Linked DNA regions of Saccharomyces cerevisiae S288C. The gene in region 2 interacts genetically with the main gene of each other region. Each region holds a gene or a part of one and is shown on either strand. Other genes may lie near its edges.

What was found. Genes that interact genetically often act in the same process or in processes that back each other up.
Region 1: mutations in URN1 (region 2) and HUB1 impair growth when combined (synthetic growth defect), as found in Saccharomyces cerevisiae (4 studies listed by BioGRID, with this or other methods).
Region 3: mutations in URN1 (region 2) and BUD13 together harm fitness more than expected from each alone (negative genetic interaction), as found in Saccharomyces cerevisiae (3 studies listed by BioGRID).

What each region holds. Positions count from the first base shown.
Region 1 is NC_001146.8:686,743-688,983, forward strand, and holds HUB1 (ubiquitin-like protein HUB1), read right to left. Parts: upstream 723-2,241; coding exon 501-722; downstream 1-500. Other genes in the region: putative serine/threonine-protein kinase PPG1, read left to right, coding at 1-374; ABZ1 (4-amino-4-deoxychorismate synthase), read left to right, coding at 893-2,241. UniProt on the Saccharomyces cerevisiae protein: Forms conjugate with SPH1 and HBT1. Involved in morphogenesis.
Region 2 is NC_001148.4:831,460-835,438, forward strand, and holds URN1 (Urn1p), read right to left. Parts: upstream 2,000-3,979; coding exon 602-1,999; downstream 1-601. Other genes in the region: SUE1 (Sue1p), read right to left, coding at 1-216; MAY24 (May24p), read left to right, coding at 2,230-2,234, 2,369-2,786; PIN3 (Pin3p), read left to right, coding at 3,106-3,753. UniProt on the Saccharomyces cerevisiae protein: Component of the spliceosome involved in mRNA processing.
Region 3 is NC_001139.9:172,987-175,845, reverse strand, and holds BUD13 (Bud13p), read right to left. Parts: upstream 1,302-2,859; coding exon 501-1,301; downstream 1-500. Other genes in the region: chromatin-binding exonuclease XRN1, read left to right, coding at 1-319; ssDNA endodeoxyribonuclease SAE2, read left to right, coding at 1,524-2,561; YGL176C (uncharacterized protein), read left to right, coding at 2,767-2,859. UniProt on the Saccharomyces cerevisiae protein: Required for efficient splicing and pre-mRNA nuclear retention. May also be involved in positioning the proximal bud pole signal.

The sequences.
Region 1 (2,241 bases), on a different chromosome or scaffold from region 2:
GAGCCCATCAGTTATGTAACGAAGGTTACCAGATATATTTTGATGGATTGGTTACTACTGTATGGTCGGCGCCAAACTATTGTTATCGGTGCGGCAATAAAGCATCTATTCTGGAGCTGTATAGTAAAGATCAATTCTACTTCAACGTTTTCGAAGAGGCACCTGAAAATAAACTGTTGAAAGAGAACAGTATGAACGACAATGCCTTAGAAGATAGCATATCTAATCCGGTAGCCAACAGGAAATTGATTGCAGATTATTTCGAAGACGACTCTGCCTCCGCAGATGGCTCCACGGACCCTGAAATGTACATATTTTCAGATGTATACCAAGCCAGATCTGCTTCTAACAGACATGTTGATTACTTCTTGTAGCTTACTAAACAATAGAAAAGCATTATAGAGACAACGCCATCTTATTATTTCTACATATTCTATCTCTCTCGGTTGCAAATGTATGTATTGTGTATTTAGATCAAAAAAAAAAAAACAGCGCATTTTCTACAGGTAATACAGCTCCAAATTTGTCTGATCATGTACCTCATAATCTTCCAGAGAGATATGGTCTTTTAAAACACTTCCACCCTTCTGCAACACAATTTTGTTTGGTTGGGTGCCAATTTGCAAGGACAATACTTTTTTGAAATCACCTACACTATCTTCAGCAAGGCACTTCACTCTGACTTTTTTGCCTAATCGGTCATTCACAACTACCTCAATCATTTTCAGAGTATTTATTTGCAATCTAAGCTTTGCCACCGCTCCTCTTTCTCAATCTTTTCCTCTCCCTCCTCATCTCTCTCAGCCAAAACCGCGAATATATAAAAACAAGCAAGTCTCCCGTAGAACTTTTACACGATGACCTTTCGAGATTTCACAAGGGGGATAAAGGAATGCTGTCCGATACAATTGACACAAAGCAACAACAGCAACAGCTTCATGTCCTGTTCATAGACTCTTATGATTCATTCACCTACAATGTAGTGAGACTAATTGAACAACAAACTGATATCTCACCGGGAGTCAACGCCGTGCACGTGACGACGGTACATAGTGATACGTTCCAATCTATGGATCAGCTATTGCCACTTTTGCCGCTTTTTGATGCTATCGTTGTTGGCCCAGGACCTGGGAATCCCAACAATGGTGCACAAGATATGGGTATAATATCTGAGCTTTTCGAGAATGCCAATGGAAAGTTAGATGAAGTTCCAATATTGGGTATATGTCTTGGGTTCCAAGCAATGTGCTTGGCTCAAGGTGCTGATGTCAGTGAGCTAAATACTATCAAGCATGGGCAAGTGTATGAAATGCATTTAAACGATGCAGCCAGAGCTTGTGGCCTTTTTTCTGGTTATCCCGATACGTTCAAATCTACGAGGTACCATTCATTGCATGTCAATGCCGAAGGCATTGACACCCTTTTGCCCTTATGCACAACCGAAGATGAGAACGGTATTCTTTTGATGAGTGCTCAAACGAAAAATAAGCCATGGTTTGGCGTACAGTACCACCCGGAGTCATGTTGTTCAGAATTGGGGGGGCTGTTAGTCAGTAACTTTCTCAAGTTGAGTTTCATAAATAACGTGAAGACAGGAAGGTGGGAAAAGAAGAAACTTAATGGAGAGTTTTCCGATATCCTATCTCGATTGGATAGGACTATTGATAGAGACCCCATATACAAGGTAAAAGAGAAATATCCGAAGGGCGAGGACACAACTTACGTTAAGCAGTTCGAGGTCTCTGAAGACCCGAAATTGACATTTGAAATTTGCAACATCATACGAGAAGAAAAATTTGTCATGTCATCTTCTGTGATTAGTGAAAATACGGGTGAATGGTCTATCATTGCTTTACCAAACTCCGCATCCCAGGTATTCACTCATTATGGAGCTATGAAAAAGACTACAGTTCATTATTGGCAAGATAGTGAAATTAGTTACACCTTGTTGAAAAAGTGTCTAGATGGTCAAGATTCGGATTTGCCTGGCTCCCTTGAGGTAATACATGAAGATAAATCCCAATTTTGGATCACTTTGGGTAAATTTATGGAGAATAAAATAATCGATAACCACAGAGAAATACCTTTTATTGGAGGTCTTGTTGGCATTTTAGGTTATGAAATAGGTCAGTACATTGCATGCGGCCGTTGCAATGATGATGAGAATTCCCTTGTTCCCGACGCCAAACTAGTTTTTATCAACAATAGTATAGTCATTAATCACAAGCAAGGGAAGCTTTA
Region 2 (3,979 bases):
GAGCTCCCTAGCTTCCAAATACTGTGTAGTAGGTACTTTGGGCAGCGATCTAAAGTCATAGAAATGCGCATTCTTTAAAATCTTTGAACTCCTTTGCTTGGTAATTTGTTGATGTTGCTGCCTTATGGGGTTCACCAGTCTGCTGTGAGTCCTTCTTTGCAAGCTTACAAAAGAGACGCTGACGCCCCTAATTTTTGTCCTCTTTAATAAAATCATCCTTATTCACTATTTCCGTACGTATATATGTCTTTGTATATACGTGTATGCGTGTGTGTTTCGTTACTCTCTATAATTCAACTAAAATGTATACATGCAGACACACACTCAGAGGGAAAAAATAAATGTGCTATAAATAATGAAACACAAGAAACATCTAAAGTCCGAAAATTGCACCTGCTCTTATCATTCATTCTTATACAAAAGTGACTAGATATGATGGCGGATCCCGCAGCCCCAATCACTGGCAAAGAGCCTGAATACCGATAGGTACACTAAGCGTAAAGACCCTACCGTATTCTGGTTGCTATCACCACCCCACTTCCATCACGTCCATACCAGGTGCGTAAGCTTAATCACTCTTTGCTCCCCTGGTCTGCCCTTCCTATTCCGGATTTATCGGCTCGTTCCCCGCGCCCACTGGGGTAAACCGGCTTGATGGCCCGACCTCGGCGGCTAGCCACCGCACCCAGACCACGGTCTTCTCCAGAATGCCCACGACGTAGTAGCGTGGTTCCGTCACCACTATTGGGCTGACACAACACCTGTGCTCAATGCTCAGCAATATATCCTCTATACTACTACTGTCCGCGGGTGCTTTCAGAAGTGTTTGCCATCGGTCGATAAGCTCTTTGTCCTGACGCAGCGATTCGACTGCCCCCGTAAAGTCTCGTTCGTGATCCCGTAGGCAATCGCAGAAAATCTCTTTCCGCTGTTCCAAGTCGAACGTCTTATAATAAAACAGCAGTTGGGAAACGAATTTGTCTTGGTCGCGCTTCGACGGTATATACTCCTTGATTTTGTAGGCCTTGTATAACGCTTTTTGTTGTTTCCTTATATCTTGTGGGATGGTGTCGGGTGCGATTGTTCCCGCATTAGCAACAATTTGTGCCAGATAATGGTATTTTGTTGGTTCTAGTACTTCGCTATCGTCTTCGCTATTATCTTCGCTATCGCTTTCTTCAGCGGTGGCATTGCCACTGCGCTCGCCGCACCATTCTTCGAAAAGACTTTCACGAACTGTGTCATCTCTGATCTTGTAAAAATCAGGATCGTTTTCGATTTTCTTGCTTTGCAGCGACCACGTGGAAAACTTGTCTAGTTTATACCTATCGAATAATTCGAAGAAGATATTACGCTCGTCAATGTCATCTGTATCAATACGATTCAGATCATCGATAATGCTGATATCTTGATTTACAATTTGTTCTTCATTCTCTTCGTCTTCCTCTTCGTCTTCCTCTTCGTCTTCCTCCCCCGAAGATGAACCATACCCGCTGACTAGCCCAGTGTGGCTTTCCTGTAAAGGGGATTTTACGTCACCCGCCTCTTCGCTGATCTCATCTTTTCTCTCAACTTCGTCTTGATTTCTTTTAAATAGATGAATCTCTTCGTTGCAAGATTCGAGGATTTTATCAATGTCCTCCTCCCGCATAGTGTAACCTCTGGCAACGCCAATCAGAAGAACCAGTTTTTCCTTATCTAACGACTCGATTAATGAGCGACACCTGCTGTCGTCCTCTTGACTGATGTCATTTTTGAACTCCTTAGAGTCATCATTAAAGTAAAGTTTTGTACCATCGTTGTATATTATTAAGTGCCAACCATTAACCAGTTCTAATGAAAATGTTGGCTTCCTCTCTGTCTGTGATTCTTTCGCATTGCTTTCTAGGTTAGAGCCTTTCTTCAAATTAGGTTTTTCCCATCGAGACTGCTTCGTGTTCTTATTATAGTAATACTTTTTGCCTGCAGGTGTCTTAAATTCCTGCCATTCTCCACGCATGGCGATTCTGTGTTACTGAACTGTCTTTCTCTTTATAATACATATCAGAATCTCTTTCGGACACTATTTCCTCTTTCTTCAATTATATTGTTTTCTCTTTCATTGCCGAAGAAAAAAAGAAACATACTGAAAGTTGATAAATATGCAATAATAAAACCTTTTCCTACTCTTGACGCTTCTGTATAAGATAAAAACTGCCAACAAGATCAGTTCCAACTTCCTGCCGTATTATGAGGTATGTTATTCATTACCAAGACTATATCCGCCACGGCTGGATGCAGGCATCGCTCCCTGTGGCTTAAGAAAATAATAGGCACAAAACTAACAATAAAAACATCCACTACTCTGTCGCATGTTCCCTGTGCTCAGATCATTCGTAACAAATAACGATATACCTGTTGGATATGTAACGCCAAAATTCCCCTCATTATACTGGCCCATCAACAACTCGAAGTATAATACTGCATTCTTATACTATATATCTGACATTTGGAAATTTTCGCTGTACTGGACTTTGATCTTTAATGGTGCATTTTACGTTACTGCTGGTGTGTATGCTAGCTTGACCCATAGAAAGAAGGCTGGAAGTGTATGGATATTCGTCATGTACGTCTTATACGGAGGCGTTCAAGGCTTGACGACTGGTACAGTTATGGGGTTTTTAATAGGTGCGATCTATAGATCTGGTTTATTTTCTATGTCTACATGGGTCCCACTTTGTTGCGCAGTAGTCCAAATCCTTTTCGATGTGGTGCTAAGTTATTCCATGGTTGGTTCCGTTATGTGAAAGCTTCTGTCAAGAAAAAACAAGAAGGGGTTTACTGATTTGATGATAAAAGTTAGCAGCAACTTTTGAATGAGAATGTGCCATCCTTCACGTAAAGAGCCTAATACTCTTTCTTCAAAGCGCTAGATTGTTCTAAACGTTTCTTTAACTATTGTTTTCGTTCGTGCAGCGTGATTAACCGAGCCTCCTTCGAGGCGGGGATGGATATTGTAAGCTGCATATATAGTCGAACCTCAAATCGGTTGAGACAATAGGCAAAGTGCCCACATTGGCGCAAACACAAGAACATTAGGAAAGAAGGCAATCTGATATTTCAAAAATGTCTGCTTCATTGATTAATCGTTCCTTAACAAACATTAGGACAGAACTGGATTTTCTAAAAGGGTCAAATGTCATTTCAAATGACGTTTACGATCAAATAAATAAGAGCTTGCCGGCAAAATGGGATCCTGCCAATGCACCCCGCAACGCCAGTCCAGCTTCCTTGGAATATGTCGAAGCTCTTTATCAATTTGATCCTCAACAAGATGGTGATTTGGGCTTAAAACCAGGTGACAAGGTCCAACTTTTAGAAAAATTATCTCCAGAGTGGTACAAGGGTAGCTGTAATGGCCGTACCGGTATTTTCCCAGCAAACTATGTCAAGCCAGCTTTCTCTGGGTCTAACGGTCCATCCAATCTTCCACCACCTCCACAGTATAAAGCTCAAGAATTACAACAAATCCCCACGCAAAATAGTGCCGCATCATCTTATCAACAGCAGCCATTTCCTCCACCTTCCACAAATTATTATCAGCAGCCTCAACAACAGCCGCAACAAGCTCCTCCTCCCCAACAACAACAACAACAACAACAACATCAGAGCTCACATAGCCACTTGAAGAGCTTTGGTAGCAAATTGGGTAATGCCGCCATTTTTGGGGCAGGCGCTAGTATTGGGTCAGATATTGTTAATAATATCTTTTAAGTCGTTTTTCTCTTTATATACTTCATTCATTTGTTCTCCATTATGGCCAAACCTTTCATAAATTGAACGAAGTTCTACCTTTGGTGTTGTTATCCCTAGAATTTTTTTCTAATGAGTATGAATTTAAGTAACCTTTTTTTTTCTTTTTTTTTAAACAGATATATCGTATATGGAGGATAATAGTACATCACTTATGATATGAGCGAGAAAATCTGTCTTTTTAGTA
Region 3 (2,859 bases), on a different chromosome or scaffold from region 2:
TAATATGAATGGAATGTCTATTCCGCCACCAGCACCACATGGGTTTGGACAACCGATTTCCTTCCCACCTCCACCTCCTATGACAAATGTTTCAGATCAAGGAAGTCGTATTGTTGTCAATGAAAAGGAAAGCCAAGATTTGAAAAAATTCATTAATGGTAAACAGCACAGCAATGGTTCAACTATTGGGGGAGAAACAAAGAACAGTAGGAAAGGCGAGATTAAACCTTCTTCTGGCACAAACTCTACTGAATGTCAATCGCCAAAGTCACAAAGCAATGCTGCTGACCGTGATAATAAAAAAGACGAATCTACTTAGAACATACGACTAAAAACGAAGTATATTCGAGGTTACTTTAATAGTATATCTGAGACCTATATAAAGAGGGGTATTTGTATTTAATCGTTGATCTTGTTAAGAAAAAGCTTATAACAAATGGGGATTGTCAAAGGGTATTTTTTACACAAAGCTTTCCGCATAGTTATATATTATCTCATTTTCAATAATCCTCCTGTAGGGTGTAGCTTTGCACTTTCTTCTCATTGATCTCATTTTGCTTAGCAAACCATTTTTCTTCAAAGCCATTTGATCTGTGGACACCGTCCCATCTTGACCCAGGCATAATGGCAAACCTGTTCTCAGGTGCTGGCTTATCATAAAGCTTGCGGCCCAGTAAAGATGTTTTTACAGTTCTTTCTTTGTCATGTGTAAATGTTATTGCAGGGTCTTCTATCGTCAGACTCGAGGCAGTTTGATTTTTCTTCTTATCATGTGCATCTACATTTATTCCAAGCTTTTGCACGTCTCCCATATTCAAATTTTTCAGGTATTGCTCTCTTTCCGCGGCTTTCTCATCTTCATATTTAGATCGACTAAAACTAGAATCGTCTATCTTGGAATCTTCCTGAATCTTGTGACCTTGAGCGTCTCTGTATATGGTTTTTCGTGTTTTCGATTTGTCTGCTACTGTGACAAGTGGCTCTTGAGCCCTGATTTCCTTTAGATCGTTCTTGCTTTCGTTGCCAGTAATTGACGATGCGGAAGGATGTGTTATTGCATGGGAAAGCTCGTTTGTTTCCAGGTTCTTCCATATATTCTTGCTTTTTTGTTTGTCAAACTTGCTGAATGAAGCAACTCCTGACTTCTCCTGTTCTTGTTGCAGTGTACTTAGCCGTTCTTTTACTATCAAAGAAGTTTTGTCTGAGTTAGCGTCTGATTTTGACTCTTTCTTCTTCTTTTTCGTCTTATTTTTGGGTTTCGTGGGCCCATAAGTCTCTGATAAATACTGATGCAATGCCATGTAATAAACGTCCTGTTGTTATCTTCCACCATTCGAGTCTTGAGAACAACTTTCAAAATCAAGTCAAATAGCCATTTTCTTTATGCCATTTTCTAAGCGCGTTCTACAAAAAAAAAGCTTTTAAGCTTTAATACCTTTTTTGTTTACGTTTGCAAACATTGTTATCGTTCACATACCTGCATTTCCATCCATGCTGTAAGCCATTAGGTGTTTGTATGTGAGATGGTGACTGGTGAAGAAAATGTGTATCTAAAGTCAAGCTTATCCATTCTCAAGGAGCTCAGTCTCGATGAACTACTAAATGTGCAGTATGACGTGACTACCTTAATCGCGAAACGTGTTCAAGCACTGCAAAATCGGAATAAATGTGTTCTCGAAGAACCTAACAGTAAACTGGCTGAAATTCTATGTCACGAAAAAAATGCTCCTCAACAATCCTCTCAGACGTCTGCGGGGCCAGGTGAGCAAGATTCTGAAGATTTCATCCTTACTCAGTTTGATGAGGACATAAAGAAAGAATCAGCAGAGGTTCACTATCGTAATGAAAATAAACACACTGTGCAGTTACCGCTGGTTACTATGCCACCTAATAGGCATAAACGGAAAATTTCGGAGTTTAGTTCGCCTTTAAATGGCCTCAACAACTTAAGCGATTTGGAAGATTGCTCTGATACTGTAATCCACGAAAAAGATAATGATAAAGAGAACAAAACAAGAAAACTATTGGGAATAGAGCTCGAGAACCCTGAATCTACATCGCCAAATTTATACAAAAATGTTAAGGATAATTTCCTGTTTGACTTCAATACGAACCCTTTAACAAAGCGAGCCTGGATTCTCGAAGACTTTAGACCAAATGAAGATATCGCCCCGGTTAAGAGAGGAAGAAGAAAATTGGAGCGATTTTATGCCCAAGTTGGAAAGCCAGAGGATTCTAAACACAGATCATTGTCAGTAGTTATAGAATCGCAAAATTCGGACTACGAATTTGCGTTTGATAACTTGAGGAATAGATCAAAATCCCCCCCAGGTTTTGGAAGACTGGATTTTCCCTCCACTCAGGAAGGGAACGAGGACAAAAAGAAATCCCAGGAAATCATCAGAAGAAAGACAAAATATAGGTTTTTAATGGCAAGCAATAACAAGATCCCACCGTACGAGAGAGAATATGTATTCAAAAGAGAACAATTAAATCAAATTGTTGACGATGGATGTTTCTTCTGGAGTGATAAATTATTGCAGATATATGCTAGATGTTAAACGCCAGCGATCATCATTCTTTATTCATTACTTCAAATACATTTTTTTTGGTATGGTTGAAAGGGCTTTTTTCCTCGTTGGCATATGGGAAAAACTGAAAAATAAAAAAAGGCAATGAGATGAACAACAATGGAAAACAAAAAAGGGCGAATAAATAAGCAGCAGTTGGTAAAGCAGAAAGGGGAAGTTAACGGACGTTAAACAAATGACACCTAACTTACCAGGGTTTTATTATGATAGAGAACGTCGACGTTATTTTCGCATATCTGAAAATCAAAGCATTTCTACCACGGGAACG